2 linked regions of the Alligator mississippiensis genome follow. The protein of the gene in region 1 interacts with the protein of each later gene in a pairwise test. Links are inferred from orthologs where the notes say so. Each region holds a gene or a part of one and is shown on either strand. Other genes may lie near its edges. The genes, in order: FEZ1 and PDCD7.

Evidence for each region.
Region 2: the proteins of FEZ1 (region 1) and PDCD7 interact in a two-hybrid assay, tested with the Homo sapiens proteins (2 studies listed by BioGRID and IntAct). The link is inferred for Alligator mississippiensis from reciprocal best matches to the Homo sapiens genes FEZ1 and PDCD7.

What each region holds. Positions count from the first base shown.
Region 1 is NC_081839.1:18,273,763-18,288,825, reverse strand, and holds the start of FEZ1 (fasciculation and elongation protein zeta-1), read right to left. Parts: upstream 6,509-15,063; 5' UTR 6,386-6,508; intron 6,076-6,385; exon of another isoform or gene 6,054-6,075; intron 5,885-6,053; exon of another isoform or gene 5,839-5,884; intron 1-5,838. UniProt on the Homo sapiens protein: May be involved in axonal outgrowth as component of the network of molecules that regulate cellular morphology and axon guidance machinery.
Region 2 is NC_081834.1:6,474,240-6,489,540, reverse strand, and holds the start of PDCD7 (programmed cell death protein 7), read left to right. Parts: upstream 1-8,036; 5' UTR 8,037-8,051; coding exon 8,052-8,867; intron 8,868-9,428; coding exon 9,429-9,567; intron 9,568-10,783; coding exon 10,784-11,020; intron 11,021-11,950; coding exon 11,951-12,038; intron 12,039-13,754; coding exon 13,755-13,872; 3' UTR 13,873-13,916; exon of another isoform or gene 13,917-13,926; intron 13,927-15,301. Other genes in the region: CLPX (ATP-dependent Clp protease ATP-binding subunit clpX-like, mitochondrial), read left to right, coding at 3,793-3,885, 4,128-4,234, 5,409-5,499. UniProt on the Homo sapiens protein: Promotes apoptosis when overexpressed.

The sequences.
Region 1 (15,063 bases):
AGGGGGAGGATCACCTCCTTGGACCTGCTCAAGATGCATCTGTGGATGCATGGCAAGGTATGGTTGGCCTTCCTGACTGCGTCCGCACACTGTCGGCTCATGTTCATTTTGGCATCAATAATGATTCCAAGATCCTTTTCTGCCTCTGCACTGACGAGAAGGGAGTTCCCCAGCCTGTAGGTGTGCTGCTGGTTCTTCTTCCCCAGGAGCAGCACCTTGCACTTGTCAGTTTTGAAACCCATCCTGTTCTCATCCACCCACCCCTGTAACCTGTCCAGGTCCAATTGTAGCCTATTCCTCCCTTCTAGCATGCCCACTTCCCCCCACAACTTAGTGTCATCTGTGAATTTGAACAGGGTGCTTTTCACCCACTCGTCCAAGTCGCTGATGAAGATGTTGAACAGTGCAGGCCTGAGGACCGAGCCCTGCAGAACCCCACTGCCCACATCCCTCCAGGTCGAAAATGACCCGTCCACCACCACTCTCTGGGTGCGCCTCTCCAGCCAGTTAGTGACCCAATTGACTGTGTAGGTGTCAACACCACAGTCCCCCAGTTTTTTAATGAGAATGGGGTGAGAGACAGTGTCGAAGGCCTTCCTAAAGTCCAGAAATACTATGTCCACTGCTACACCTGCATCTAAGGATTTTGTGACCTGGTCATAAAAGGCCACCAGGTTGGTCTGACAGGACCTGCCTCTAATGAACCCATGTTGGTTGCCCCTAAGCATAACCTCCCCTGCTCGTTCCTCGCGGACATGTGCCAGGATAATTCTCTCAAAAAGCTTACCCAGGATGGAGGTAAGACTAACTGGCCTACAGTTTCCTGGGTCCTCCTTCCTCCCTTTTTTGAAAATGGGAACCACATTGGCCCTTTTCCAGTCCTCTGGCACCAAATCAGAGCACTATGAGCACACCAGAGCACCACCTCCCTTTCCACCACACCAGACTTACCAGCTAGAGGCAGCTGTATTGGAAATCAGATCGGTATCAGCTGATATGCCTCCTTAAATATCGGCTATCAGTATCGGCCTCAAAAATCTCTATCAGTGCACCCCTACAGCTCTGCTTTAAGTTAATGGTTTTAAGGCAATCTCATCATGCAAGGCTTCAGCCTGTTGTCTGCTGCAATCAGTAATGTTTCTGTTTCTTCAACTGCATTGTATTGTTTGCTGTTGTTTTCATTTGTTTTTTCCCACCATCCTCTGAAGTAGTGGTGCTCAACCTTGTGGCCCCATGGGCCAAATGAGGAGTATGGGACTGATCCATGGGCTGGACTTGACCCCAATCTCAGAATCAAGCCTGCACACTTGGATTCAAACCATACTGCCCCCACCAGGCCCTGCATTGGCAACGCATAGGGGGTGCACACAGATGTAAAAAGGCGGCATCTGCGGGTGGTTGCCAACTGCAGGTCGGCACTTGCCTCCCACCCCTCTGCTGCCAACAGTGCCTCAGCTGCCTGCGGGAGCTCGCCACGCCCCTCCCCCCCCAGCCTCCAGGGACACATGGAATTTACAGGACCCCATGGCCCTAGGACCCCATGCTGCCTCCACTTGGTCCTACATACTGGAAGCAGGCCTCTGGGACCCCATGCTGCTCCTGCCCAGCCCCCCATGCAGGAACTGGGGCCCTGGACCGCACACTGCCTCCATCCAGTCCTGCATGCTAGGGTCAGGGCCCTAGGAACCTGCACCACCTCCATTAGGCTCTGGAAGCCAGGATCAGGCTCTGGGATCCTGCAGTGCTTCCACCAGGCTTTGTGTGCAGATATCAGGCTCTAGGGCTCAGACCACCTTTGCCAGGTTCCATACACTTGGAACACCAGGCCCTGCATGCTGGGATCAGGCTATGGGGCCTTGAAGCACCTCCACCCAGCTTTGTGCACACAGCTCAGGCTTGTACCATCTCTGTGCACTGGAATCAAGCCCTGCACTGCTTCAGGGCCCTATGCCACCTCCACCTGGCCCTGTGTGCTGAGACCAGGCCCCATGGGCCATAGCTGGGCCAGGGATTGCATACCTTCTGTTCTGAAGCAGTGCTGCTCAAACTTCCAGCCCTGTGGGCTAAATAAATGGCACAGGGCTGGTACATGGGGCAGATCCTGTAGATGGGGTTTGGTCCACAGGCTAGATCCGCTGTAGGGTCAGTGCAGAGTTGGTCCATGGGTGTGATCCAGTATGCCAACCGAGCCCTGCACATCAGATATGGCCACAGACCAATCCTGCATGCCAGCCAAGCTCCACACACTAGATCAGAGGCAGGCAATTATTTTGCGCGGAGGACCACTTACTGAGTTTTGGCAAGGCATCGAGGGCTGCATGACACGCAGCCCAGGGCAGATTAATATTAATTTTCTAAATTTTTTAGGGGCCCCGCAGGCCAGATAGAATGGCTTGGCAGTCCGCATATGGCCCATGGGCCGCATTTTTCACACCCCTGCACTAGATCCAGCTGTGGCCCAACTCTGTGCACCAGTGCAATCCAGCATGTGAGGTCATGTTATCTGGCCCATGGGCCTTTTGTTACGCCTCAGCTCTGTATTCTTGGGCAACCCTGGCACAGGATGCAGTCTGTCTGACTCACAATGGACTCACCCCCCCCCCCCTCCCCTCCTCTACCTAAATGAAACTGATTAAGATGCAGTGAGAGACGCACCTAAGACCCTCACCAGATAAGGGTGACAAGAGTGAATCAACTGCCCTAGGTCTCATTTACATCTGAGATGGAACCAGATGACCATTCATTTACATGAGAGATGGAAAACAGAAAGCCTGAAGCAGTGAATTCTGGGACCAGAGAAGCAGGAGAGCGCTGCATGAGGAGGAATCTGTGCTTCCAATGTTAATCAACCCATGTTCACACACACCCAGCTCAGCATTTATCAGACCAGTTCTAATCTGGATTTGCTAAGGACTTTCCCCCCCCAGACACACACACACACAGCTCTAAGTTTAATAGGCATCTCGGGCCGTACATTCCCCGGTCCCACTATGGGAGGCCTATTTAAACTTGATTGACTAAAACTCGGTTGCTGGGTTAAGGAATGCTGAGGCAAGAGACCGAGTCAGGGGGGGTATGGGCAACATTGGAACAATGGTTAAGGGTTCATCACAGTATCCAGCCTGCTGGAGCCCTAATCCCATGTGTTGTCATATCTTTCCCAAGACGACTGGTGGAAGTCCTCTCCACAAAAGGTTATGAGCACCCCACTAATTGCTTTAAGTCTGTTAAAAGACTATAGTAAGATCTGGAAAAGTCATGCTAAGCTGAGGCTTGTGCACAACAAGTAAAAATCCAAAATCCTGATGCTGCAAGCTATCTATTGTTCCTGAAGAAACCATGAGATATCCCATCAGTATATCTGCCATACATAGGAATTTCAAGCTGGCTCCCAAGTATTTGGTTACTCCCTAATCTTAAGTGTTTCCTGATTATCAATCAGTTTCCTGAGATGGTCCAAACCAGATAACCCCTTGTCAATAGAAAAGACAATGATTTACACTACTGAGGGTGCTTCGAAGCAGCTGAACTGAGGGTATAAAAATCTGTAAGTGTGTGTGCTTCAAAAAGAAAAGAAGCAGCAGCAGGAGGAAAGAAGGAGAAGAAGAAAGAAGAAGAAAACCCCTGTGCTGACACCATCCCCTGTCATTCTTGGGACGCTGGAAGAACAGTTCATCTCTCTCTTCAAGGATTGTGCTACGGACTGTGCCTGTCAGCTTTGGAGCCTGAGTACCGTGGATTAGGTGAGATCCCAGCGCTCGATTTCTCTCTCCTCTCCAGGCATAAACTTCTGAACCTGAACTGTATTAGTTAAGCTTGAGCTAAGTTTCCCCAAATACTTAGTGAAACCAGGGTAGTATTGTCATTGTTGGTGTTTGTTTTTCTTTTGCATGTCTATTACTACTAGTACTATTATATATTTCATATGCTTAGCAATAAATAACTTTTATAGTCAAACTGGTAGTAATTGGGTATATTTTTCCTTCTCTGCTTCTCGTTCCTCCCATGCTCTGCAGCAACGCTTCTTTTACCTATGCTAAAGATCCCTGTGAAGCCCAAAATTATTGTGGGGTCTGCTCATCAAGAGGCCAAAGATTGGGACGTGCTGAGTTTGAAACACATAAGGGGATCAGCTTGTACAGGCTGATTGACCCAGTTTGACTCAGACGTGCCCTTATGAACTGAATGCTGGCCCATGAGGGTGTCAGCTGGACACCCAGCCGGATTCAGAGGGATTCTGTTTACCTGTGTGCTTGTGTCTGACTGCAGTTTATGTTGCTCTTATGAACTGATTCTTGGCATATGAGGGTGTCAGCCTGTCCATGCTGATCAGCCTGGCCAGGTCAGGTGTGTCACGTTAATTTGCGTGTGTTTGTGTGTATGACTGATTTGGTGGCTGGAGGAACCCAGTCCCATTGAGATTGAGTCCTGCAAGATAGCTCCATTGGGGGTGAGGGCTTGCAGAAGGGAGAAATACAGCTCCGTATAGTAACACAAGCAGCACATTGACAGAATCACCAAGACCCTAGAAACTATCCCTAATAAATGAGCACACCCCAAAGTAATGGGCAAATTTGGTAATACTTTCCATGACAATGGAAATTTGGCAGCAGTGGAGTTGTATCAGTATCAACTCCTATGGTTCTGGAAGTTGTGACAATGATGTCACTGCTCCCCTGTCATCAGATTTCCAAACCTGTCGAGAGCCCCGTGGGGCAGTTGACATGGCCCTGGGGGCCAGATTCAGCCTGCAAGTCAGCGGTCAAGTGTCACTCCTCAAGCATTAGAGTTTGTTTGCAGATAAAGACCTGAGACCAAACCAGGGTGGTATAGCTAACCCTCTGTTTATGTACCTGAATGGTCTGCCTTGCTCACATGCTCAGTCACAGTGATTCCCAGCTTTGGAATTCTCTTTCAGATCAGACTGGCAGGAACTTGGAGGGTTTTTCACTTTCTCTCCAGTATGAAGTGTGGATCAGTGAGCCCATCTTGACTCTTCCTGTTTAATCAGTTCCCTGCCCTTGCAGAGTCCTTACTTACTGGTGATACCTCCATTTATCTTGATCCCTTCCTATGGCAGGCAACATTTTATTCTTTGAAGGCATCTCAGCTTCCCTGAAGTCTCTGAACACAGGGATAGCTGGGTGAAATGTAGTAGCTCATAATAAAGAGAGAGAGTGTGCACAGGACCATACTAGATGGTTGAATGATCCCTTCTGGCTTTAAAGCCCATGAAACTGGGAAACAGAAGGCAGACTGAAGAGACCCGTTTATGAGTGCTCTTCTTCTCTTCATAAACACATGCAAAACCAGTTTCCCCTCCCTCATGTTTGCGCACACATGGCGCCTCTCCTATACATGCATAAGAGCTACTCTGCAAGCACACTCCTTCCATAAGCATGCATACACCATACCTCCCCTCTCACAAACCCGTTAAGCATCCACGTCCGAACAAATTCTACTGACCCAGCCCGGGTAGCACCCAGCATCTGCTACACCAGGGATGGGCAAAATGCAGCCCAGGGGCTGGATGCGGCCCGCCAGACCATTCTATCTGGCCCACGGGGCCCCTACATTTTTTTTTTTAAATAATATTTATGTGCGCTGGGCTGCATGTCATGCAGCCCTCGATAGCTTGCCAAAACTCAGTAAGCGGCCCTCTGCCCAAAAGAACTGCCCGCCCCTATGCTACACACACGGGGCTCTGCACCCTATATCCATGCTCCTCCCAAGAGCGTAACCTGTCTTCCTGAAAACCGCAGCCTTCCACAGGCAGACATAAGTACACGACTCTCCAGCCCGGCAACTTCTTCCTCCCGTAAAACCCCAGTCCCTCACCAAAACGCCTCCTGCAGCCCGCTTCCGTGCGCGCTCTGCGGCTTCTGCACGCGGCGCCCGCGCGCACGGTCAGCTGACAGGCGCCCCTTGGCCCTCTGCAACCCGCCCCAAATCCCCATTCAGCAGCAGGGCAGGAGCCCCTCCCCGCTGTTCTGCACGCCTACATGAGAGTCCCAGCGCCCCAGAAGCCCCTCCCGTCGCGCGCCAGCCCTCACCTGCCTCCCGCTCCAAATCGCACCGAGACAATGGGCACCTCCGCGCGCCCCCGCCCTCCCCAGCCCCCAAGCCTGCATGGCGCCGACAGACACACACAATGGCTCTGCGCACAGCGGGGAGGCGGAGGCAGAGGGGGAGGGGGAATCTTTTCAGCAGCCGAAAGAATGAATGACCAGTTTGAAGGGTTTTGGAAGCCCGCTTGCCCCCGCCGCCCGGCCGCACCCGGCTTCTTCTGGGAATAAGACAGCGGATCCCCGGGGCCAGCTCCCAGCGGCCGCACGGAACCCCCGACCCCCGGGGCTCCCCTGCAAGGACAGAGAGAAACACGCACCTGAGGGTGGCGTGGGGCCAGCAAAGCGCCTCTGAGAACACGCAGCCTCGAGCTTAGCGGGGCATCCCATCCGCCGGAGTCACGGAGCGGCGAGCGGCGGACGGCGCTAGGACTGCCCCTGCCGCCTGACAGGCGCGCTCTGCAGAGCCGCGCAATCCGCCCTCCCAGCCTCCCTCATCAATATGCATGAGCAGTCGGTGCACGAGCAATATGCGCTGACAGCAGCGCGGCGGATCCCGCTCCATGTGCAAGGCCCTCTCTGGGCAGACGCTGACGGGAGCCGCTGCCCGGGGAGAAGCCCCACTCTGGGTGCTCGGTGGGTTCTGTGGCAGCCAGCAGTCTTTGGCAGGACAGCGATTTTGTCCCTAAATCAAAATGCCAGGCTCTCAGAAACGACGCGGGCCAGCTCTGCTTTCCAGAGCACCCCGCCAGCCTGCTTCTGACGGAGAAACCAATAAAAATGGAGGCTGCTTCACAAAGACCTCAGAGAAATGAGGCAAGCGTGCTGTCTCTATAATGCTGTTGCCATTTGGGAACTTGGCAAAGGTTTTATTCAGACTCACAGAGGCACACATTTCCGCACCAGCAGCTGTCCAGCACCCTCCAGGAAAAAAATATATATAAGGGGGAAAGCTCTCTGGCAACAACAAAGGCTTGTTCTGCCTCGGTTTGCAAGCCATTTTGAGGCAGTCATTAAAATCGCTGATTGATTCCCTATATACTACTAGCACGCTCGGGGAAGGTGGAGTCAATTCAGGTTCATGGGCATTGCCATTATTCAGAACAAGCTGTGGGTCTACCCTAGTCCTGATTTCCCTTGTAAACAGATAGTTCAGCCCGTCATATTAACAATGGCTCTTTTTTTCTTCGGCTGAGCCTTAGGGTCAATTTTGGGGCGCACAGTTCCTGTGCATGAAAAGAAGTTAGGAAAGGAACATATTAAAATGGTGCCAGATCCTTTCCCCATCTTTTTTGCCTGTGGCAAAAAGCAGCCAACCAGAAAAGCATGAAGTCAAAAAGAAAAGGCTTTGCTGAAGTGGTTGAGCATGGAACAATACCTTAGGCAGATAACGTTTAGCTGCAGAGAGAGAAAGAAAATGACTGCAGCAAAATTGCTCCTATCCACTTCTGGGGAAACAGGAAAGGAAAGAGGAGAGACCCAGAACGTAAATTCTGATGTTACTGAATTTACAAGAAGTTTACTGTGTCCCTTTATACACGCAGAAAATAATATAGAGAATACATTTGAGCATGATGGGGTTCAAAGAACATTACTTACTAATTGAAACAATATGTATTGTCTAGCTTTATACTGTATTACACTTTTTGAAAAAAACTTAAAAGAGCTGTAAGGTTGCAAATCCCATTACTGAATAATTAAGAAATACCAGAAATCAGAATGCCTATGCAAACTTAATTTTTCTCCTTATGCTGATGCCACATTCTATTATTTTCATACAACCCTGGTCTCATTCACTGAAAGGGTATTTTTTTCAATTTTTCTTTGTAACTCTATCATTTAATGCACATAAACTCAAGGCTTATTTAATGCATACACAAAACTTGATTATAAAATATTAATGTTATCATATACAACCAAAATGCCCATCATGAATGATGGCAGGGATGGGGGCCTGGGGACAGAAAACTATGTCCGGCCCTGTGCCCTCCCACTGCTGCTCGAAGTCCAACCTAGCTTCCCCCTTTCCCCCCACTGCTGCTCTAGGTACTGCACTCCGCCCCCCCGCCCCCCTCCCCCCGGCCCTACCACTCTGGGTCCTGCTCTGCTCCACCCCCCTCCCATGGCTTCTCTGGGTCATGCCCTGCTCCCCCTACCACTCTGGGTCCAGCCTCACTCCACCCCCACTCCCAGCAGTTCTGCACAAAGGAGGCATGGCACACGGCTGAGCAGGGAAGTGGCGTATGGCCATGGTGCGTGACATGGGCAGTGGCCCCAGGATGTGGCGCTGTCCATGCAAGGGGGCTTGGCATACAGTCATGGGGGGGCGGGGGGGGGGCGTGGTACGCAGTTGCAGGGAGTGTGACACTTGGCCACAGGGTGCTGCATGGGGAGCGGGCATGGGGGACCACCCTGCGGATTTGTGCTGCAGCTGGCAGGTACTGCCCAAATCCCCCGTGCCCAGTCCCTGCATGGCGCCCTATGGCCATGCACCTCCGCACCACACCCCACCCCATGCACCTTGCACTACACCCCGCCCAACGCACCCCATGCCACAGATCCCCACGCATCCTGCGCACCCCACGGCCACAGCCGGCACACCACGTACCACGTGCCACAGCCTCCACATGGTCACACGCCCCACGCCATAGCCTGGGGCCACTCCCCCTGCCATGCCCCGCAGTGGGTAGCACACCCTGGCCCCAAATGCCTCCATCTTCACCTGTGTGTCTCTCTGTCCATAAGGCTCCAGGCTGCACATGCACAGTTGGCCCAGAGCATTGTGGACAGACAGATACACAGACCAAAGTGTTAAGGCTTTTATTATATTGGAATATTTCTATATTACTTTCATCATAGTAAACAAGTTCTCAAAACATTGGAATTTATCATTACAACATTCCCATGAGCAGTATTATTATCCTAACTTTAGAGCTAGGGAGAGTAAAGCACAGAGGTCTATGCTCAGAAAGGAATTTAAACAGAACTTAGGCACCTAAAGCCAAATTTATCATTCCAATAATCTCCATCATTTACTGCTGTAGGACACGATGGAACACAGGTTAGTATGAGGATTGATTAGTATATATAACACTCAGACTTTAAGATTATGAAATAGACTTCCTAGGGAGTTGTGGACCCTCCAACACTGCAGGCGTTCAAAAACAGGTTGGATAAACATTAGTCAGGAATGATCTAGACCCGGGGTGCTCAGCCCCAAGCCCACAGCCAGATCTGGCCCACAGAACCATGTCATCCAGCCTACAGGACTCTCCAGAGTGAAGAATTTTTTCCTGATATCCAATGTAAATCTACTTTGCTGCAACTTCAAGCCTCTGCTGCCCAGGCTTTGTCAGTGGACAGCCAGAAACAACATGTCTCATGAAGGGTGGAGGATGGGACTTTGGCCTCTTCCTCCCATGTAGCCAGAACTCAATCCTCTGGTAAAACTCAAACACAAAACAGTGACCTAACCTAAGTCAAATGTAAAACCCTCTGGTGCTCTTGTCCTTGAGCCGTCCTATTTAAGCCAGTTTACTTATAGATTCATAGGGTCAGAAGGGACCTCAGTGGGCCATCTAGTCCGAGCCCCTGACCCTGGCAGGCAAGAAAAGAGTAACCAACCCTGGGGTCATGTGATCCCAGCCAGGTGCCTGTTGAAGGCCCCCAAGGATGGGGCGAGCGCCACCTCCCTCGGGAGCCCATTCCAGATTCTGGCAACCCTGACCATGAAGAAGTTTTTCCTAATGTCCAGCCTAAACCTTCTCTCTAGTAGCTTATGGCCATTGTTCCTTGTCATTCCAGGGGGTGCCCTAGTGAACAGATCGTCGCCTACTCCATGTTGCTCTCCCCTTATGAATTTGTACACTGCCACAAGGTCCCCTCTCAGCCTTCTCTTGGAGAGGCTGAAGAGGTTAAAGGTCCCTTAGCCTTTCCTCGTAGGGCCTTCCCTGCAGGCCTCTACTTCCTGCCTACCAGGTACATCCCCTGGACTGGCTTGTCTTCTCACTGCAACTAGGTCTACTGGGAGCTATATGGCCTTCAGCAGCCAGGGCCAGACTGCCTTTTCCATTACAAGAAGCTGGCTTTATATGCCCCAACCTCAGCCCCCTTGCTGTTAAGTGACCCTGCAACCTGCATACAGCAACCCTCCCCTACAGTTACCACTGTTTCTGTGCCAGGGATATGATCCAGGCCTGGTGAGGCCTGTGGCAGAAGGCCACCTCTGTTTCTCCCCAAAAACTCTGCTCTGTGACAGTTTGGTTAAGATGGGCCCTGAAGAGGGCCCATCTTACCCTATCTCTTTAGGTAACCTGACCTGAATACATTCCTGAAGGAGGGGGAAACCTGCTCCCTCTGCTAACGTGACTGGCATCACGTGAGGGGCTTGGACTACCTGGGGAGCTAGGAACTACCAGTCTGCCCAACAACTAGTGATGCATTTCAAATTGGTTGGCTGACAGCCAACAGGTGCTTGCCTCCATTGGACCAGGTAAATGAGGTCATAAGGGTTATATAAGTTAAGAACTGCCCAGGAGGAGAAGGCAGCAGCCATGAGGATGACTCAGAGAGAGAGAGAAGAGCTGGACCATCTGAAACTTGCTCTCTTTCTCAAAACTCATGATCAAGGAACTGCCTGCCTCCAGAGGGAATAGCCACCTGCCTCTGGGTGATATTTGTGAGTAAGCTACCTGAGATCTAACTAGATATATAGCTTGCAGTAACTCAGATGTGTGATCAAAGGCTACCCAGCCATGCCAGTTTGCTCTATGGGATTTATCTGATATTGCTCTACTCTGTACCCTATTCCAACCCTACCCCTTGTAACCAATAAAGTTCTCCTTTGTACCTAGCATGGGATACTTATTGGGAGTGGGTCTAGATTATACCTTGGGGTCCCCTTGGTTCGGCTGACTAAGGGAGACCACTACTTGTGCTTCCAACCGAGGGAAGCATCCCAAGTGCTTAAAGTGAGTCAAGTACCCTTGAGGGCTACTAGGCCTGTGTTTCCCAAGGTGCACAGAGCCAGAATAAAGCCCAGCCCTGGGTGGTGGCAGTTTTTACCCCAGGCTAGCAGATGTGCTCCATGAAGGGGGTCGGACAGACATGAGGCACCCCCAGGGAGGTATTCAGAGCCTGGAAGGTGGCTGGGCATAGCGAGGTGGGTGGCTCAACGCAGGAGCACCCCCTACTGGCCCGCCACGTGGACAAATAGACACAAGGACCCTATACAACATGTAGTGATGGCAGAGCTTCAGGGTGAGCCATCTTTACAGAGATCTGTGCTGACCTGCTCCTGTTTCAATCAGGGGAAAGCCACTGATGTAAGAATGCCCTTGTCTATGGAGATGTGAGTGGCACTTACCATCTGGAACCTGACAACACCACCAGTCTGTAGCCAGCCACTTCAGTGTGGGCAAGTCCATGGCTGGATCTCTGAGGCATGCCAAGGTGCTGGTACTCTCCAACCTTCTATAGGGCATAGCTAAGCTCCTTGCATGGGGTTTCTTAAGTGCATTATGGTCATCAATAGCACTGACAGTGTCATCACATGCCCTGTGCACCAAAGTTTGAAGTACATCAGGTGTGAGGGTCTCCTATTTCATTCCATCTCCTATTCCATCATGCCGCAGGGTATTGTGGACAACCAGGAACAATTCACCAACATAAACACTGAGTGGTTAGACAAGGTCTATGACACTGGGGGCTACAAGAACTCCAGCATAGTGCTCTTCACTATACAGGACTTGCTAGTATCATGTTGAAGGGAATGACCATAACCCCCATGTTACTTGGGGACTCCACTCATCTGCTCCTCTCATAGTTCATAAAGCCCTTACATCAGACACTTGAATGCCAGGAAACAGCCAATTGAGCAAATGATCATAACCTTGGAGGTTCTAGTACTGAGCACTATAGACTAAGCCCATGAACACAGCAAAAGTCAGGACATTCACAAGAGATGCTCTGGCAAACTATTCTGAAGGTGCTGGACTGCAGGGCAGGAGGCAAGCCAATACATAGGATAATGTGCATACCTGTTGGTTAACCAAAATATTTTTTTTATGTGAAACATTTCAGCTATTTACATGGAGTATTATGTAAACCAAGACCAAAGTGCTCTCTGAACTGTGGATAAGGTGAATCAGGGATGGTATCTTAATTGAAGGAAGGAAGAGTGGAAGGTGGGCTCCCTAAGAGTAGTCTTGTCCCTCCAAGTCATGTTCGCTGCATACCCAGAAAGTGGGGAGTCACAGAATCATAGATAAAGATGGCTTGAAGGGACCTCCAGAGGCAGGGTCATCTCTATCCAAACCATCCCATACAACCATAATCAAAACTCAACATAAGACTACCCTCAAACTTGACACAACATAAACCTAACACCATAACCTGCCACAGGTAAAGCAGTGAAACCATGGCAGCCAATGTCCTACTTCTATAAAATGTGGTCAATATATGCTCATGAGTTCCCAGGTAGAGGTCCATACCCCCCGATACAGAGGAAGGCAAACCCATACAGTCTATACCAATCATACAATGGGGTAAAATTTCTTCCTGACCCCACATATGACGATCAGTCTGATCCTCAGTGGAGGGGCAAGGCCTTTTAGCCAAGAACCTCTGGTTTTGCTCATAGCAAGAGAATCAGTACATTCCAGCCAAGTTCCTAGCCTTAGCTGTAGTCAACAGCCAGTGCCTCTGGGGAAACTTAAAAACACCCTGATACATAGCAGCAAGGGGGGGTGGGAGGGTGGAAACCAACAAAGCACAAAGCATGGGAAATACCTATGGGAGAAAACAGGCATATCTATGCCTAGATCATCCCTGACCAGTGGCTGCCCATTAGGCCTGTGTGAAGTAGCTAGTATTCGCTTCAGATTCAGCTGATTTGGAAGACAGTGGTTCAATTCAGTGATTTGAATCACTGTCCTGATTGATTCGGCCAAATCTGATTTGGAGATGGGCAGCAGCCAAATCTTCGAATCTCTGCACTACCCAGGCCCGTCCCCCGCCCACTCTCCCAGCCCTGGCAATGGCTGCCCCGCCTGCCCCAGCTCCTGGCAAAAAAAGCCTCGGTTCACCGGGTGCTGCCGGGCAGGGGGAAAATCCCTGCTGACCCCCACTGCCCCAGGCTGCATGGGGGTCTCTGCACAAGCACCCTAACCCCAACCCCCTGCTGTCCCAGCCCCCACCCATGGCTTCCCGGCCTGGCCCAGCTCTGGCCCTTTAAGAAAAAAACCCACAAATGAGAAAACCCCCGCACTCACTGCTCCTGCCCAGCGGGGGGGGGGGGGCATTATCCCTGCTGCCACCCACTGTTCAGTGCTGCATGGGGGAGCTCTGCACAAGCCCCGCAAAGCTCCAAGCCTGCTTCAGGAGTGGTGAGTCCTGGGGTTTTTCTCAGTTTTTTTTCTTAAAGGACCAGAGCTGGGGTGGGTAGGGCAACTGTGGGAGGGCTGGGGGAGGAGAGAGGGGGAGGAAGGCTCATGGCAGAGCCCTCCATGCAGCGTGGGGCAGTGGGGGACAGCAGGGATCCCACCCACCTGGCAGCACCCATTGAGTGGGGCTATTTTTTAAAGCACTGGGAGCTGGGACAGACGGGGCAGCCATGGAGGTGGCGGGGGGGGGGGGGGGCTGGGGAAACAGGGAGGGATGGGGCCTTGCAGCCTCCCCTCCCTCATCATGGTCCTTACCTCCAGCTTCCCCTCCCCCGCCCCTACTTACCAGCTTGTAGTCCAGCTGCAACTCCCTGCTGCAGCCACTGGAGACTGTCCAAATCATCAAAGGTCTTCAAATCTTTCCCAAAGATTCAGAGAGCTTCAAATCAATTCAGACCTTTTAATTGTTCCCCTGATTCAATTTGGAGTTTCAACCACCGAATCGGGCTAAATCTCCAAATCGAATCACCATCCGAAGCTTTGCACAGCCCTACTGCCTGCCCATCCTCTTCTTCAACACCTCCAGTTATTGAGAGTCTACTACTTCCCTAGGCACTCTATTCTATTGCTTCACTATTTTAAGAGTGAAGAAGTTGGTTTTTTTCCTGATATCCAATCAAAACTTACTTTCCTGCAACTTCAAGGCATTGGTCCATGTTCTCCTCTCTGCAGTAAGAGAGAAAAGTTGCTTTCCCTTTTCTTTATGGGAGTCCTTCAAGTACTTGAAGACTGCTCTCATGTCCCTCTTAAGTGCTTTTGCTGCAAGCTGAATGCCTAGCTCCTTCAGCTTCTCTTAATATAAGCTCTTGATCATCTTTGTTGCCTACCTCTGGACCCTCTCTTAATTTCACATCCTTTTTAAAGTGTGGGGTATAGAACTGCACACGGTACTCCAGAGAAGGTCTAATTTGTGCAAAGTCTAGAGAGGCACTGTGGCCTTTTGTGTCTTGCCTCTAATACTTCTATTGATGTAGCCCAAAACCTCATTTGCTTTTTGTGCTGTTGCATCACACTGCAGACTTAAGTCCAATCTGTGGTCTACCATAACTCCCAGGTCTTTTTCTGCAGAGCTACCATCCAGCCATGTGTCACCCATTTTATGTTTGTGTTTTTGATTATTCTTTCTAAGGTGAAGGACCTTGCCTTGCCATCGCTGAAATCCATCCTGCTAGCTCAAGCCCAGTTTTCCATTCTGTCAAGATCCTTCTGAATTGTGCTCCTGTCCTCCAATATGTTCACAAGCCTTCACACTTTTTGTTGTCTACAAACTTGCTCAATAAACTTTCTATGCCATCATCCATCATTAAAACACATTGAACATCACCAGGTCCAGGACAGGCCCTTGTGGGACTCCATTTGAAACCTCTTACCATGTTGATATAAACTTGCTAATAATTCCCTTTTGCTTGTCTCTATCTAATTGGCTCGGAGCCAATTATCTAACCAACTAGTAGCAGTTTTATCTAGCCCAAATTTCTCCAATTGACTCGTAAGAAGGTCATGTGGGACCTTGTCAAAAGCCTTGCTGAAATCCAGATTGTGAGCAAGTGCCTTCT
Region 2 (15,301 bases), on another chromosome or scaffold:
ACTGGCCTATAGTTGCCCGGGTCCTCCTTCCTCCCCTTTTTGAAAATGGGGACCACGTTTGCCCTTTTCCAGTCCTCTGGGACTTGGCCCGTGCGCCACGAGTGTTCGAATATTCCCGCCAGTGGCTCTGCAATGATGTCGGCCAGTGCCTTCAGCACCCTCGGATGGAGCCCATCCGGGCCTGCCGATTTAAAGGCATCCAGTTCTTCCAAGTGACTCTGCACCACCTCAGGGTCTACGCATGGCAGTCTGGCGCCTTGCTGCTGCCTCTCTGCAACCCCAGGGAGAGACTTGTCGTGCCCCTCGCTTAGGAACACTGAGGCAAAGAACTCGTTGAGGAGTTCAGCCTTGTCCCCCCTATCTGTCACCAATTGTTTCTGCCCATTTAGCAGGGGTCCTGTTCCTCCCTGGGCCTTCCTTTTACTCCCAATATATCTAAAAAAACAATTTCTTGTTGTCTTTTACTTGGGTTGCCATCCTCAGCTCCATAATTAAAATATATTTTAATTTTATTACAGAATCATTTATCATGATTTGTTTGTGTAGTGTATATAGAAGGCATTGCATAATTACTCAAAAATAATCTCACTTTTATATTGTGTGGCAGGAAGGGTGTGTATGATGGGGTGGGAGGCTTGTGGGGGGGCATAGGGTGTTTTGGGGGGGTGTATATGTGGGGATGGAGGTTTGTGGGGTATGAGGGAGGGTGGGGGGTGTGGGGAACCCCCACTCCCCCACATGGCATGCAGCCCTCAATGCCAGCATCAGGCAGGGGGGCTTAGGGAGCTCATGCCTGGCACAGGCCGTAGTGGGGAGGAGCACAGCCTGTCTGTCCACCTCTATCATGGAGGCTCTGTGCTGCATGCCTGCAGCTCCCGCACTCGCACTGGGGGAAGCAGTGCTCTGCTGGACTCTGCAGTGAAGCAGGGAATTGGGGCTCCCTCCACTCCCAGCAGAGCCACAGCAGGAGGCAGGGAAGGCAGCCGGCTGCAGTGTGGGTTTTCCCCTGTTGCGAGTGTGGGAGCTGCAGGTGCACAGCCTCTGCCATAGAGGCGGCAGCAGGAGCCAGCTGGGAACCACAGGGGCCGGTCTGGCTCCTGCTGCATTCTGTGGTCCCGGCACTGTGGCCGAGAAGCGCAGTGTGGCACGGAGCTGGCCGGCTTGGCCAGGCACCTCCTGGTAGCGTGTGGTTCCTGGCTGCAATGCAGAAAGCAGCAGAAGCCAGCCCAGTCCCCACGCTTTCTAGCTGGGTCTTGCTCCCATTCCCACTCGCTGCCACTTTCTTTCCTGTGCCTGCTGCCACTTCCCTTCTTCACCCACCACTGCCACCATGCCCCCCCCCCGATGTTCCCCACACACCACCCCCATGTGTTGCCAGAGCGGCGGGCTTCCCAGCTGCATGGCCAGGACTGCACAGCACAGCAGGAGCCGGCTGGCTCCTACTGTGGTGGCGATCCTCTTCCCGCACTCCCCTTTCCTGCTCCACCCATCTGATTCTCCACTTTTGGACAGAGAGAGGTGTGAAACAGCCCCAGGGTCTCAGGCCAGAAGCCTCTGGCAGGCAGAAGCTTCCAGTTGTGAGCTGGGCATCAGGTGGGGGGCAGGCAGGCCCTGCTGCTGCTGGGTCCTGCCACTGGAGCCTCCTGGGTCATCTTTGACAGGCAGCCAGGGCAGATAAATATTACTTGTCTAATTTTTTAGGGGCTCTGGGGGTCATATTTTGCCCACCCCTGCTCTGCTGTTTTGGTACCATGTCTATAAGGCTACTCTGGCCTTTTTCCATAACAGGTCATGTTTACGTTGTTTGGACCTAGTTCAAGGCCCTGGACTACTATAGAGACTTTTTATATTACAATAAAAGTTCTGTTAACTGGTATCTTACAAGCCAGCATGCTCAATTAACTGGCATGCCGGCTTGTAAGATAAAGTGAAACTGGAAGTGCCCACCGTGGCACTTCTGGTTTCTCTGAGCCCCCAGGGCAAAGCAGCCTGTGATGCTGAGCTCCCACGGCCCAGGGGGCATAACAGGCTGTGCGGGGCCCGCCTCCCTGACCCACGGGGCCTGCAGGGCCCGCAGGAGGGGCGGTGATGCGGTGGGAGGGGTGGCGATGCCGTGGGAGGGGCAGTGGGATGCCCCAGACATGGTGGGAGAAGTGGTGATCTGGGCCACTCAATTAACCGGCATATTTTATTATCCAGCATCCCCCATTCCCAGGGGATGCCGGATAACACAGCTTTTACTGTAATATCAAAATTGAACCATTTCTACCTGCACAAAAACTAGTTAGAACAGACTATTTTGTGGAAGCTAGTTAAAATGTAATTGGTTAGATTGGGTCCTGGTGAAAACTAGAGGTGCGCTGATACATTGATCTGATCTCAGATCGGCACCAATATAAAGAAAAATGTCTGTATTAGAAATCAGCCATATCAGGCCAGTAATTTGGCTGATAAATGGCCCATGCACGCGCACATCTGTAGCGCAGCACAGGCAGTGAGGAGCACAGCTGGTAGCTGGTAAGTCTGGTGTGGTAGAAAAGACGGAGCAGGGGGAAGGGAAGGAGCATGGGTGGGGCAGATCAAGGCCCCTGCGCTGAGGAAGGAGTGGGGCTGGGGCAATCACTGCCCAGCTGGGATGGGGTGGGCTTGGGACAAAGCTGCGGATTGGCGGTGCGGGGAGGGAGGTGTCAGCACGCACCGCTGATCCAGCGGCTCGTCTGGTGCTTGCCTGCACATCTGGCAGTTCCTGCTGCTCGGATCTGCCCAGGGTGGGCTGGGGCAGGGCATACACCATGCTCTTCCTGGCTGGCCTGGGCTCAGGCTGGGCAACCGTGGCTCTGGGAATTGGGCGGGGGGAGGGGAAGGGGGGTTGCAGCCACCCTAGAATTTGCTGTAGTCCCCTCCCAGGACCGTCACCATCTGGCCTGAGCCCAGCTGGGAAAAGCTTGGTGCAGCCCCAGTGCACTCTGCACGGATCCGGAGGATTCCCCCCCCCCCCCCCCCCCCCCCCCCCCCCCCGTGCTGTCCCAGACGAGTGGTGAGAGCCACCAGGTGAGCTCCAGATGAACCACTGGACGAGCGGCGCGCAGTGGCAGGAGCCACCCCCTGGACTAGCCACAGCTCCATCCTGCACCTGCCCCACCCTGGCTGGGCAATGCTTGCCCCAGCCCCACTCCTCCCTCTCTGTGGGGGCCTTGATCTGCCCCAATCGCCACACCCCTTCCCTTCCTCCTCCCCTTCTACCACACCAGACATCAGCTCTCCAAACTGCCAGGCTGATATCGGAAATCGGATCAGTATTCGCTGATAACGCCTCCTTAAAAATCAGCTATCGGTATCAGCCGCCAAAACCTCTATCAGTGCACCCCTAGTATAAACCCCCATCCTCGGACCAGGGAACCTAAGACGGCCAGCATGACTGGCCATATCACACTCGTGTGCTGTTGGTTGCAGAAACTAACCTGACTTAACCATGCCAATCTGCCAAAACACTGTGGCTTGGGACAGACCTTGGACTACTTTTTTCACAGTGAATTATATGCATAGTCCAGGGGACCAGTGGCAAGGTTTTAAAAACCCAAAATAAGAGTGGAAGATGCTGCAATCCAGAGGGCTCTGGTGAGATCTTTCTATGTTTGAATACTTTGTATGGAAAAAGTTACCAAAGGATGACCTAGCCATTTAAAAATACTCGCATGCAATTTTGCCACAAGCACAGTTAAAAGAAAGATGGGGAAAACATAGAAGTTAGACATACAAATAAAATATCCAATGTTACTTTTCTACACGTAGTGTGAATTAAATGTGACTGAAGATGCACTGAAAGCCATAGCCAGACTGGCTCTGGACAGGAAGACTGGTGCAAGAGGCCTTCGATCTATAATGGTGAGCTCTTTATTAAGTAGCACTAATTATTTGCATCCTGAGTAGATGTATTTGAATTATGCGCATTGTCCTTGTCAAGAGAGCTTGTTCTTTAAGGGTAATTTAAGTGGGATGTTCAGTTATGGAGAATAAACCTTTTCCCAGTGGTAAGGGTAGTCAGATTTCTTCTAACAGAGTACCCAACCAACCATTATTGTGTGAAGGACTAGGTGAAATACACGTTTGTTTTTCTTTCCTCGTAGGAGAAGTTGTTGTTGGAGCCCATGTTCGAAGTACCGAATTCTGATATTGTATGTGTGGAGGTCGACAAAGATGTTGTAGAAGGCAAAAAAGAGCCAGGATACATTAGGTAAAATAGGAATGGCAATACCACAGCAGACTGGTAGCACATCTAGGCAAGTGCCCTACTGCTTGTCAATTAGGTGCGTTAGAAACAAGAAAATAAAAATTGTGCGCACCTTTTAAAACCAAGAATCCTTCTTTCTATGTGCCATACACAGTAGGTAAAGGGCACTTGCTACATAGTCGAGACACCTTGGCTTCTTTCTGATTAAAAATATAAAAATAACTGTAAATTACCAAATAAATGTAAATACATGACATTTGTTTTAACTTGACGTGTGCCTGTCTGTGGGTAAATAGTACAATGACTTTATCAAGAACATATAACACTCTGTTTAAATGGGTGATTGTGTTGAATTTCCTGAAGAAGGGGGGGAATTATCATTGTTAGTCCTTAGTAATAGGCAGGGCATTGAAATTCTTGGAGAAAAAAATCAAAACTGGCTCCTCTGATTCCCTTAGTCTGAAGTAGCTCAAAGTTGATGGCTACCCGGGCTGTTTGCAAGATATTTCTGCTGGTATTCTTGAGAGGGGTTGAGGCTCTGCTTCCCACAAAGGTGAAAGGATGGGGAAAGGAGTTCCTGGAGGTGGCTGGTTGGCTGAATTCCTGTTGAAATGATGACTTCAGTGCTGCTAGGATGATATTATATTAGTGATGAGTTAGAGCATCTAAAGACTTGGACAGAGGGTGATTTTTTTAAGTCTCGTTAACTAGTGATGCAGATGTGGGAAGAGGTCTTGTGTTTAAGAGACAAGACTAGGAGTCGGGGGTTGTAGGTCTCGTAAAGCTCCCACGTGGCATTCATTATGGTACATACTGTCTTTCTGACTAATGGAAATAATGCTGCTATTTACTTCACATTGATGCTGAGGCTTAATTCAGCATGTTGATTTTCTGCTGTAGAAGGAACCGCTGCAGTGTAAACCAGTATTCTCTCAGTAACAGTTGAATTAAGTGCAGAATAAGTGTCACTCGCTCTGCGTTAGTCCAAGCTTAAGCTTTGCCAGTTATCACAAAAGAATTCTGTGATGAACTCTTTCAAGCAAATAAATTGGGTTTTTAAAATGAAACTTTGGCCTGAGTGTTTTAAAGTAGACAATGTGCTGTTTCCATTCCAGTCATCCTGCCTCCATTCTCTTCTCAGATGTTAACATACCTGATCAGTTCATTTTAATTGTAGGACTCCGACTAAAGATTCATCCGAGGAAGAGTATGACTCCGGAGTTGAAGAGGAAGGCTGGCCTCGTCAAGCAGACGCTGCAAACAATTAAGTACTGTCAAAAGGCTCTCCTGCATAAAGCACACTTGGTTATTACAAGATCATACTGGGCTTTACAGTCTGACACTAAAGGCGTTGGATCTATCCGGCATATGATACATGGTCAAAAAACTTGCAGTTAAATAAATCAGATCATGTATTTATTGTATCATCACATTGATTTTTCTTCATTGGACATTATTTGGACTTTGGTGGCATAATGTCGAGTATAAATTGTACGTTATTTTTGTTCAGTTTGAAAAAAAAAAAAAAAGCTCTAACAAGCTTGGCAACACCTGGGTTGTTTTCTGGAACTAAACCCAATGCAGTTATTGCCAACAGCTAAAAAAACTTTTATGGTAATATTACTCTACAAATGGGAAAACAAGCTTAATATTAACTAGAGGATAGATAAACTATGAATTCGTCTTATAATTCACTTGGGTTAAGTTCAGGTCAGTGTTAAGTTTCTGTTCATTTTCAGAACCAAATGGGTGCTGGAGGGATTTGTTACATTTGTCTTGAGACATGCCCTAAACTGGATTTTCCAAACCTCAGATACTGCTTTATGACCCTTTTCTGCAAGTCTGCTAAAATGTAACACATTTACAATAATTGGATACAATATCTAATGCCATTTCCTAACTTCTTTACCTTGCCATTAGCTATAGGTTTAACAGAGCATCTGGAATACTGAGAGAGCCGGTGAAACCTGCTGGATTTGTGGAGGACGGTGAAGATGTAAAGGCAGTGGGATATACCATGTTGGCATAACGTTTTAAAATATTTATGTTCTAATACATGCATTTTGTTCGAATTATCGGAACTATTGTGCATCAATTTTTTGGTGCCAGATATTTGCCCAACCTTATCTTCTTATAACATTAAGAGATGAAGACAGTAAAGTTATTGTATAATAATTTTGATGTAATCAATAGTGACTGTACACATGACCATGCTTTTTTAAAGTTACACGCTTAAATGCTGGTGTTGCATCTTGTGTTTTTGTCTCTTGATTTTTAGATTTGCAGCAAAGCAAAGACCCTTGATTTCTGTTTTACACCCAAATAAATTTAATAATCCTTTAGGAAAGTGTTTGTGAAAACTCTAAAGGACTTGTATGGCTTTTGATTCATTTAAAAAATTAAAATGGTTATCTACAACTGCTTTATTCTTTACAGTGATATGTGAGTCTAGCTTTTCCTAAGTCCTGTTCCTGAATTTTGATTCATACTTGCTAATGAAAACCTTCATTACCATTTTTAGTCTAGTAATAGCAGTAAAAGTTTTTGGTACTATTGATTTTTATTGGTCCTAGTCCCCATTGTCTCATGAATAGTTTAGGGTTTAACATTTAAATAAGAAAGTCATGTCATACTTTATGTGCTTTTAGAAAACAGATATAGTAAACATGACTTTAAACCAGATGCAGCAGATGTTTTTCTCTTTCTGGTCACAGGTCAGAAAAGGCTACTTTCAAAGCTCAGGAAAGATTCAGGTGATCGGTTTAACCTAGCGTAAACTCTCTGACTTCCAGTATCTGTAACTTAGGTATCCTATCCTCCTTTTCCTTTTTGTAGAGTGAAAAGTAAAATGGCTTTTAATTCTGTTAGAAATTACCTTTTTTCCTCCAAACGGACTGAAGGCCATTTTAATGAAAACCATCAAACAACTTAGTTTTGAAAGTTGTTGAGAAATGTGTAATCAAGAAAAGTTTTTACAGAAACAAAATGCTGTGTAACTACTCTTTGTACTTCCAAACCAGCTTTGGCGTTTGAATAAAACAGCAGATATTCATGAACCGCCGATCTCTGTCATCCCACTTGCTGACGCAGGCTCATCTCTAGGTGCGAGGGCAGGTGAAACCAGGAGCTTTCGCTCTCCTGGTCCCCACGCAGTAGCCTTCCTGCGGCCTGCACATCTGCCTCCCACCTTGGAGTTGTGCCATGTGCCTGAGGGAGGGACAGAGCCTGCTGGCTGCGACTCTTCCTGTGCCCTGCTAGCCGCTGCGTGCACGTGCTAGCCCAGATCCGGCCTGTGCAGCGGCAAGGCGCTGCTTGTCCCACGCCCGCCCTGGAGGAGAGGAGCAAGGGGGGCCGCTGGCCCCGCACGAGTCGGGCCTTGCTGCTTGGGCGAGGCAGCACCAGCTTGGCCCCCAGCACCCCGCCCCCCACGTGCTGTACCTCCTCGTGCACCTTCTGCACCATCCCCAACGCCAACCCCCCCTTTAGTATTCACCACTGGACCCGCGTGTGTGTGTGTGGCCTCATGCATAGGCATCTCTGGACCACCTGTCTTCCCCCACCCACCTCATGCATATTCATCACTAGCCGACCTATCCACTGTGCCTCATAAATATTCAGCAGCAGCCGCCCCCCTACATCTTTACGCGCACGCAACACCCACCCTCGTGCGCAGTCACTCCGCCAGGCCCCGCCCCTTCGCTTGCAGTCACCGTCTGACCCCGCCCCCTTGTGCGCAGTCAGTCAACGCCCCGCAGGCCCCGCCCCCTCATGCATATTCAGCGAGCGCGGCCCCGCCCCTCCAGCCGCCTGAGGAGGGAGCATGGCCGGGCCTCCACCACCGCCGCCCTTCGCCGCGCGCTTCCCGCCGCCGGGCCTGGGCCCGGGCCCGGGCCCGTTCCGCGGCTTCCCGCCGCCGCCGCCGCCTCCTCCGCCCGGGCCGCGCTTCCCGGGGCCGCCGCCCTTCCTGCCGCCGCCCGGCCCCGACCCGCCGCTGCTGCTGCCCGCCGCCGCCGCCTACTGCCGGCCCGGGCCGCCCGCCTGGGCGCCGCCGCCTCCGCCGGGCTGCGGGCCGGGCGCGGGGCCGAGGCCGGGGCTGGGGCCGGGGCCGGGGCCAGGGCCGGGCGCGGAGCGGCAGCGGGACGAGCAGTGGGTGGCGCAGTTGATGTCGCGGCGGCGCGCGCGGCCCGCGCCTCCCCCTCCCCCTCCCTCTCCGCCCGCGCCCCCGCCTCCCCCTCCCACAGGCCCTGCGCCTGCCCCGTGCGCGGGCCCGAGCGAGCGTCGGGCGCGCGCGCTGGCGGCGGGGGCGCTGCCGCTGGTGGCCGAGGTGGCGGCGCGCTGCGCGGCCCTGCGCCGCCTGGAGGAGGCGGGGGCGGAGCGCGGGGCCGAGGCGGAGCGGGAGCGCGAGCGCGCCGGGGCCGCCCTGGCCGCCCTGCGGGAGCGCGCCGCCCCCCTGCGCGCCCCCGCCTTCCTGGCGGCCCTGCGGGAGCGCGCGGCGCGGGCCCGCGAGAAGCGGCGGCGCCGGCGGCGGGGGGCGCGCGCGGCCCGCGCCGAGGAGGAGGCGCGCGCCGCCGAGCGCGAGGCCCTCATCGACCGGTGGCGCGCGCGGCGCGGGCACGAGGCGGCCGAGAGGGCGCGGGTGAGCGGGGCACCCCCCCACCCCAAAAAAAACCCCCTCCCCTTTCTTTTCCTCCTTTTTGTTTTTTTGGCAAACCTTTGGGCACGAGCACCCCTCGTCTAGCTCAGTCGCTAAATAATTCTGTCATTTAAACTCCCCGATGTATTTGCTCGGAAGAGTTACGGCAGCGGTTCTCAACCGGGGCCCACGAGATATTTATACGTTGTCTAACCACCTGTGTTAACTAATCCCCGTTGAACGGGGGTACGTGAAGTCTCACTCGGAGACCGAGGGGTACGTCCACTGAAAAAGTTTCGGGACCGCTGAGTTAAGGTTGAAAGGACGTCCTGTTTCCGTATCCCTCAACCGCTGCCTTCGTTTTTGGCCCCTCTGCCGTGTTTTTCGTTCTCTTTTAAAATGTGCTGTTTTGACTTCCCGCATCTTTGTCGATGAGACGCTTCGTCAGTCCTGGGACGCCGTTACGGATTTCAGTTATTCTTCCCTTTACGCTTCTTGTCGCTGTCTGTATTCGCGAGTACCTGCCGGGGCTCACGTTTTCTTTCTGCTTTCCCCCCAACGCAGGAGCAGGAGCTCAAAGCGGCTGCCGACAGCGTCTTGTCGGAGGTAAGGAGGAAGCAGGCAGACACGAAGAGAATGGTGGAAATCCTTCGGGGCTTAGAAAAGCTTAGAAAACTGAGAAAAGAAGCCGCAGGAAGAAAAGGTAAATTTGGTGCGGTTTTTGTGAACTATTATAAATGCAGGCAATAACGAGCAATTTCAGTAGGGGGAAGGGATTTTTTTATTTTTTTTTGCCAAACCCTGTTAAAGACCAGGTACAAGACAGGATATTAATTAGTCGTTTACTTTGCAAGCAGCCTCACTTCTTTCTGGCTGCTTATGGAGTAAAGCAAAATATATCTCTCTAGTTCATGCAACCGTTGAAATAACGCACGCTTTCTGGTGAGACTCTAGTGCGATAACAACAAAATCTTGCTCAGCTTTTGTCCCTCAGTAAGTTTCTGAGGGGTTCAGACAGCGTAAGGGCTGTAGTAGTGTCCTCTTCTCATAAGCAAAAGGTTCACTTAAGGGCTTTATTGGAAGAGAGCTCTTAATGCTTTAAATCCTGATTCGGGCTTTCTCGGTGGCTTTTTGGTATTTATTTTAATAAGGCCTTCCTCAGTTTAACCTATTACCACTCCCTGACTTTGCAAAATATTGGTCTCTAATGGGTACCTTTGATCTGTTTTAAGTCCTTTATTTAACGCAGGGGTGGCAAAATGCGGCCCATGGGCTGGTTGTGGCCCGCCAGACCAACCTATCTGGCCTGCAGAGCCCCTAAAAAATTTAGAGAATTAATATTTATCTGCCCCTGGTTGCCTGTCATGGGGCCCTCGATGGCTTGCCAAAACTCTGCCCTCTGCCCAAAATAATTGCCCATCCCGATCAATGGCTTCTTTTGGTAAGACTCTCTGACTTAATAGTGATGGCGATGAAGAAGTAGTAGTTAATGGTAGACATGAACAATCGCATGTTTTATGTATTTAATAGTGTACAGTGAGTGTACCAAATAGCCACACCAAGAGGAAGATTCTGTAGCATCCTTGAGCGTAACCAACAAGCCTCATGTGCCAGCTACCTTGCTGGAAGGAGCACTGGGAAGGTTGCTGCTTTGGCAGATTTTATTCCAGACTTGTAAATTTTTAATTGGATGCTTTTATAATACTGCCTTCAAGGATCTGTTTTCTAGCATGTGGAATATAGCAGCTTCACTCCCATTCCAAACTCCTCCACGTAACTCATTTTATCGAAAGATAGCTGCGAGAAAAATTCTTGACTTAGACGCAGGTTTGTCCAAAATGCTGCGAATTGCCTCTCAGTGTGAAACTGATTTCGAGGTTGATTTTTTTTTTTTTGAAGTTTTCGCTCTCGTTCTGTAGGTGTCTGTCCACCCCCATCAGCAGATGAAGCTTTTGAACATAATATTCAGAAGATGAGGACATTGATTAAAAAACGGACTGAACTGTATGAAGCTGAAGAGAGAGCTCTACGAGTCATGTTAGAAGGAGAGCAGGAAGAAGAGAGGAAAAGAGAAATGGAAAAGAAGCAGAAGAAAGAAAGAGAGAAGCTTCTGCAGCAGAAACGTGAAATCGAGTCTGTGCTGTTTGGCAATCCGGGTACGTGGCTGCAAATTTTGCTTTGGTATTGGGGAGTTTTTGTGAAAACCAGCAAGGTTATGGTTAAAGTGATAGCATAAAGCTTTGTTTACAAAAGCCGACGTGCTGAAATAGGTGATGCCATGAAGATGTGGAGATGACACGAGTTCAGTCAAGTTCTTTCATTAAATTTATCAAATTCAAAAGGTGTGGCAGTAAGAACTGGAAATGTTAACCATGTCATAAACTAGTGTCTCGTCACATCTTGCAAGCCAAGCAGTTTAGGTTGAATTGGCTGTTTAGATTGGAGATGCTCAACCCCTGGCCCATGGGCCAGATCCATCCCCTGGAGTCATGCCAGCTGGCCTGCAGGGGCCCAAAAACTTGTTCGTGGGGGAACAGTGGCAGCAATTACTGCTCCCCTGCTGCCAAATTTCCGGACCTGTGGGGAGTCCTGTGGGCTAGATAGCATGTTGGATGGTGCATGTCGGTGCCCCGGGGCCTGGTCTTGGGCACACAGGGCCCAGCTGGAGGTGGCTCAGGGCCCAGTCCTGGCACGCAGGGGGGTTCCACATTGCTCAGCTGGGAGCTGCACCAAAAGGTTGCACACCATTGGTTTAGGTGGTAAACCTCCCACGGTGTAGATGCTTTAGTACTGGCATTCAGCCAATGCTATTTGTCCTTCCCATCTAGTACTGTGTGTTTCCCTGCTGGGCAGTGAAGAGGAGGGCTTGCATATATATGGGTAGTGCTTTTTCAGTATGAAACTTTTGATGCCAATTTGAATGTAGATCTTTCTGATAAGTTATTTGCTAATTCATACATTAATTTAAGCGTTAGTTATAGAGTGGCAAAGTGCTAAGTCAGGAAGGCATCTTCATTGTCTAGGCTTTCTTTGTTGAGCTGGAATTTGTGGCATTTTACTGAATAATTTTTAATGTGTTGTAACAGATGAGTTCCCCCTTGGCCATCTGCTGCGACCCTTCCAACAGTATTATTTACAAGCTGAGCATTCTGTACCAGTCCTCATCCAGATCAGGTGAGAGCAACCAGCATCTTTACTGCATACAATACTAAAGTGGCACTTGGTTATATAGATATATTTAAAGATAAAATCGCAGCCTCTCCTGGTTCACCGACTTGTGAATACAAAGTTATCTCTCACAAATACTAATCAGGTTTCTTCAGGTGGTTATAAATCTCTGTTTTCCTTATTCACCCTTATGAGGCTAAGAAAACTTGGATAATTTGGATACATTACTTTTGGTTTCTCTACAGTGATATCCTAGAGCAGTGGTTCCCAGTCTGTGGTATGCATACCACCAGTGGTTTGCATGCCCCACCCAGACCTTCCACCCATGAGGATGGGAATGAGGCACGCACATGTAACATGTACACACAGCCCCAAACATACCCTATTGCCTTGCTCCTACCCTTGTGGGCAGAGGGGCCTGGCCCCGCCAGCACACAGCTTCCAGATGGAGCAGCCCCCAGGTACCTGCTCCACTTCCCAGTGTCCTGCTGGCTCCAGGCAACAGGTGGGGAAGCAACAGGGGGAACCCCCTGTGCTTCCACCCCCCCCCCCCCCCCCCCCCCCCAAATGGCGCGCAGGCCTGGCAGGTGGTGGCAGCAGCAGCAGGTGGGGCACTCAGATGCACAGGCACCTGGATGGGCACAGCTCTGGCCAGCACTGCTCATCACTAGAGGCACAGCCTGTTCTGGCCTGTCTGTCACCAGTGCTTTCTGCACATGTGTGTAGCTCTCACACTCAGTGGGCATTGGAGGGAAGCCCCGCGTGCTGGAGCTGGCTGCCTTCTTCACTGGGGCTGCACAGCATGGGAAGAAAGCCCCAGGTGCCTTCCCCTGGGGGGTGTGAAAGTCAGCTGGCTTCAGTGCTGGGCTTCCCTCCTGTGCTCAGGGAGTGCTGGCGATACAGACTGCCTGACGAAGGATACGTGATGTGCAGTGCTGGCCGGAGCTACACCCCCACCTGCTACTGTGCCATGGGGGAAGTGTGGAGGTTCCTCGCACCCCACAAACCCCACATACCCACAACTCGCCCACACACCCCACCATACACACCTCCCCACACTCTACTGTACACACACATGTGCACACCCCCCCCACCTTAAGTGCTGGTGGCACTTCAGGTTGTATTGTTTTAAATTGGTGGTGCACAATCTGTCAGAGTTTGGGAGCTGCTGTCCTAGAGCAAGGGTCAGCAGCATAAGGCCTATAGAACTGGAGGGCTTTGCCTCTGCCCCACCCCTGCAGGGGCTGAGCAGCAAGGAGCTGCACTAGGGCTGGGCAGCTGGAAGCTGCTCCCACACTACTACTGCCCTCCCCATCCTTAACTGGCCTGAGCCTGGCACTGCTCCCTTCTGGGGGGTGGGGGTAGAGAAAAACACCAGCAGTGCAGGTGTAGTTCCCAGCTACGTGGCTCTCCCCCAAGCTGATGTGCTATGTAGGCCACCCAGTCCATGTCAGACTGGATCAGGGTTGTTCTGGCCTGTGGCTTGAGAAAGGTGGCCATGGCACACCCTATACATTTAGAACTTACACGTTTGTTTGTAGGGATCTGAGTTCAGCCTTCAAGCTTTTGCTTTAAAGAATGTAATTCAGAGAGTGATCTTATCAGTTGACTTACGTAGCAGACAGTATGAAAAGAAATGCACGTGTATCAGCATATCATAAGCAGTCTTATGGGTGAAGTGAAACGGAACAAACATCCTTTGTAAACATTCTCCTCTTCCAGGCATGAATGGGACCGGTATTTGGTACCAGCAGATCATCCTGAAGGAAGCTGCATCCCTCCAGGATGGGTCCTCCCAGCTCCTCCTACCAGTGACACTTGGGCCACTGCTGTCAGATAACTTTACCATAAGACAGTCTGAAGTTTTGGAGTGTCACATTAAAGGTGTGTATAGGTATGTCCAAATTGGATCTATCCATCAGTACCAGGATAGACTATCAAATCATTTGAAATAGGCCTGAAAAATGTTTTGGACCAGGCTGTAACTCTCTTCTTCCATTTGACACCATCCATGGTTGGTACTGAATCACAAGTTATGTAGTGACTAAAATGTACCCTTTGTTTTTGTGAAGATAACGGCTCCTGCATTCTAAACCCACTCTTTTCCATTCCATTTTTTGACTGAAACAGATGACTATTAGAAATGCTTTACTAATTTTCACATTTCTTGAGGTTAGTTTACAGCAGAAGTACTGCCCCTTAATTTATCTATGCAGATCGATTTACATTGTAAGGACGAATGAGTCAAAATGTTATTTTTCAAAAAGATTTATCTGGAATTCTAATCTATTATGTCTTCACTAAGAAATAGCTATACTAGAATTTATTGTTTTTACTTCTCTATCTCTTTACAAATGTTATGTATATTGATTAAAGAGAGGTAGGAGGACTTCCAATAATATAAACTCATACAAGAAGTCTCTTCTAATGAGCATTGAATTAGTTTTTAAAATGTGTGCCACCCACTTATACAAGTGTCATTAATAGCTGCATATGGTATGTGACTGTTGGTAGGAAATCTTGCTCTCAATCTTGAAACAAACATTTCTCTTTTAGAGAACCCCCAAAATGACTAAATTTAGAGTGTGTTCAGTTATAAATCCAGTGCACATGTTATTTTGGATTACATCTGTTTAGGCACAAACCTCCAAAATAAGTCTTCAAATGTACAAAAACAGTTTGTTTTGTTTCATTGTTTAAATCATAGTTTCAGGCTATGAAATCTTGCAATGTTTTTGCTTTACTGCGCTTGTTCTGTTCAACATCCTTCTAACCAAAATAAGTTAACACAAGCATCTCAATTGACTGCCTACAGACAGGACAGGGCTTATTCTGCTTTTTTAGTTTTCACGTGCTTGTAAAACATGACATGTTCTGTCTTGCCATGTACAGTGCAGCCATTCTTTTGGTCTACTTTGACATATGGCACAGGGCTCTATGCTGGTAATAGGTAGACTGGATTCTGTCTTCTCTTTCTCTTTTAACTCTTTGTCCTTGACTGCTACAAAACTCATTAGGTTGGTGCCTACAAACTCATTAGGAGGGCACAGCAAAGAACCGGAGATGCTGTGTTCACCAGGGCGAGCTTCTTAGGGTAACAAGAAACAATAGTCACAAACTGACAGCAGATTTAGGCTGGACATCAGAAAGAACTTCTTCATGGTAAGGGTGGCCAGAATTTGGAACAGGGTTCCAAGGCAGGTGGTGCTCTCCTTTACCTTGGGAGCCTTTAAGAGAAGGCTAGATAGGCATCTGGCTGGGGCCATCTG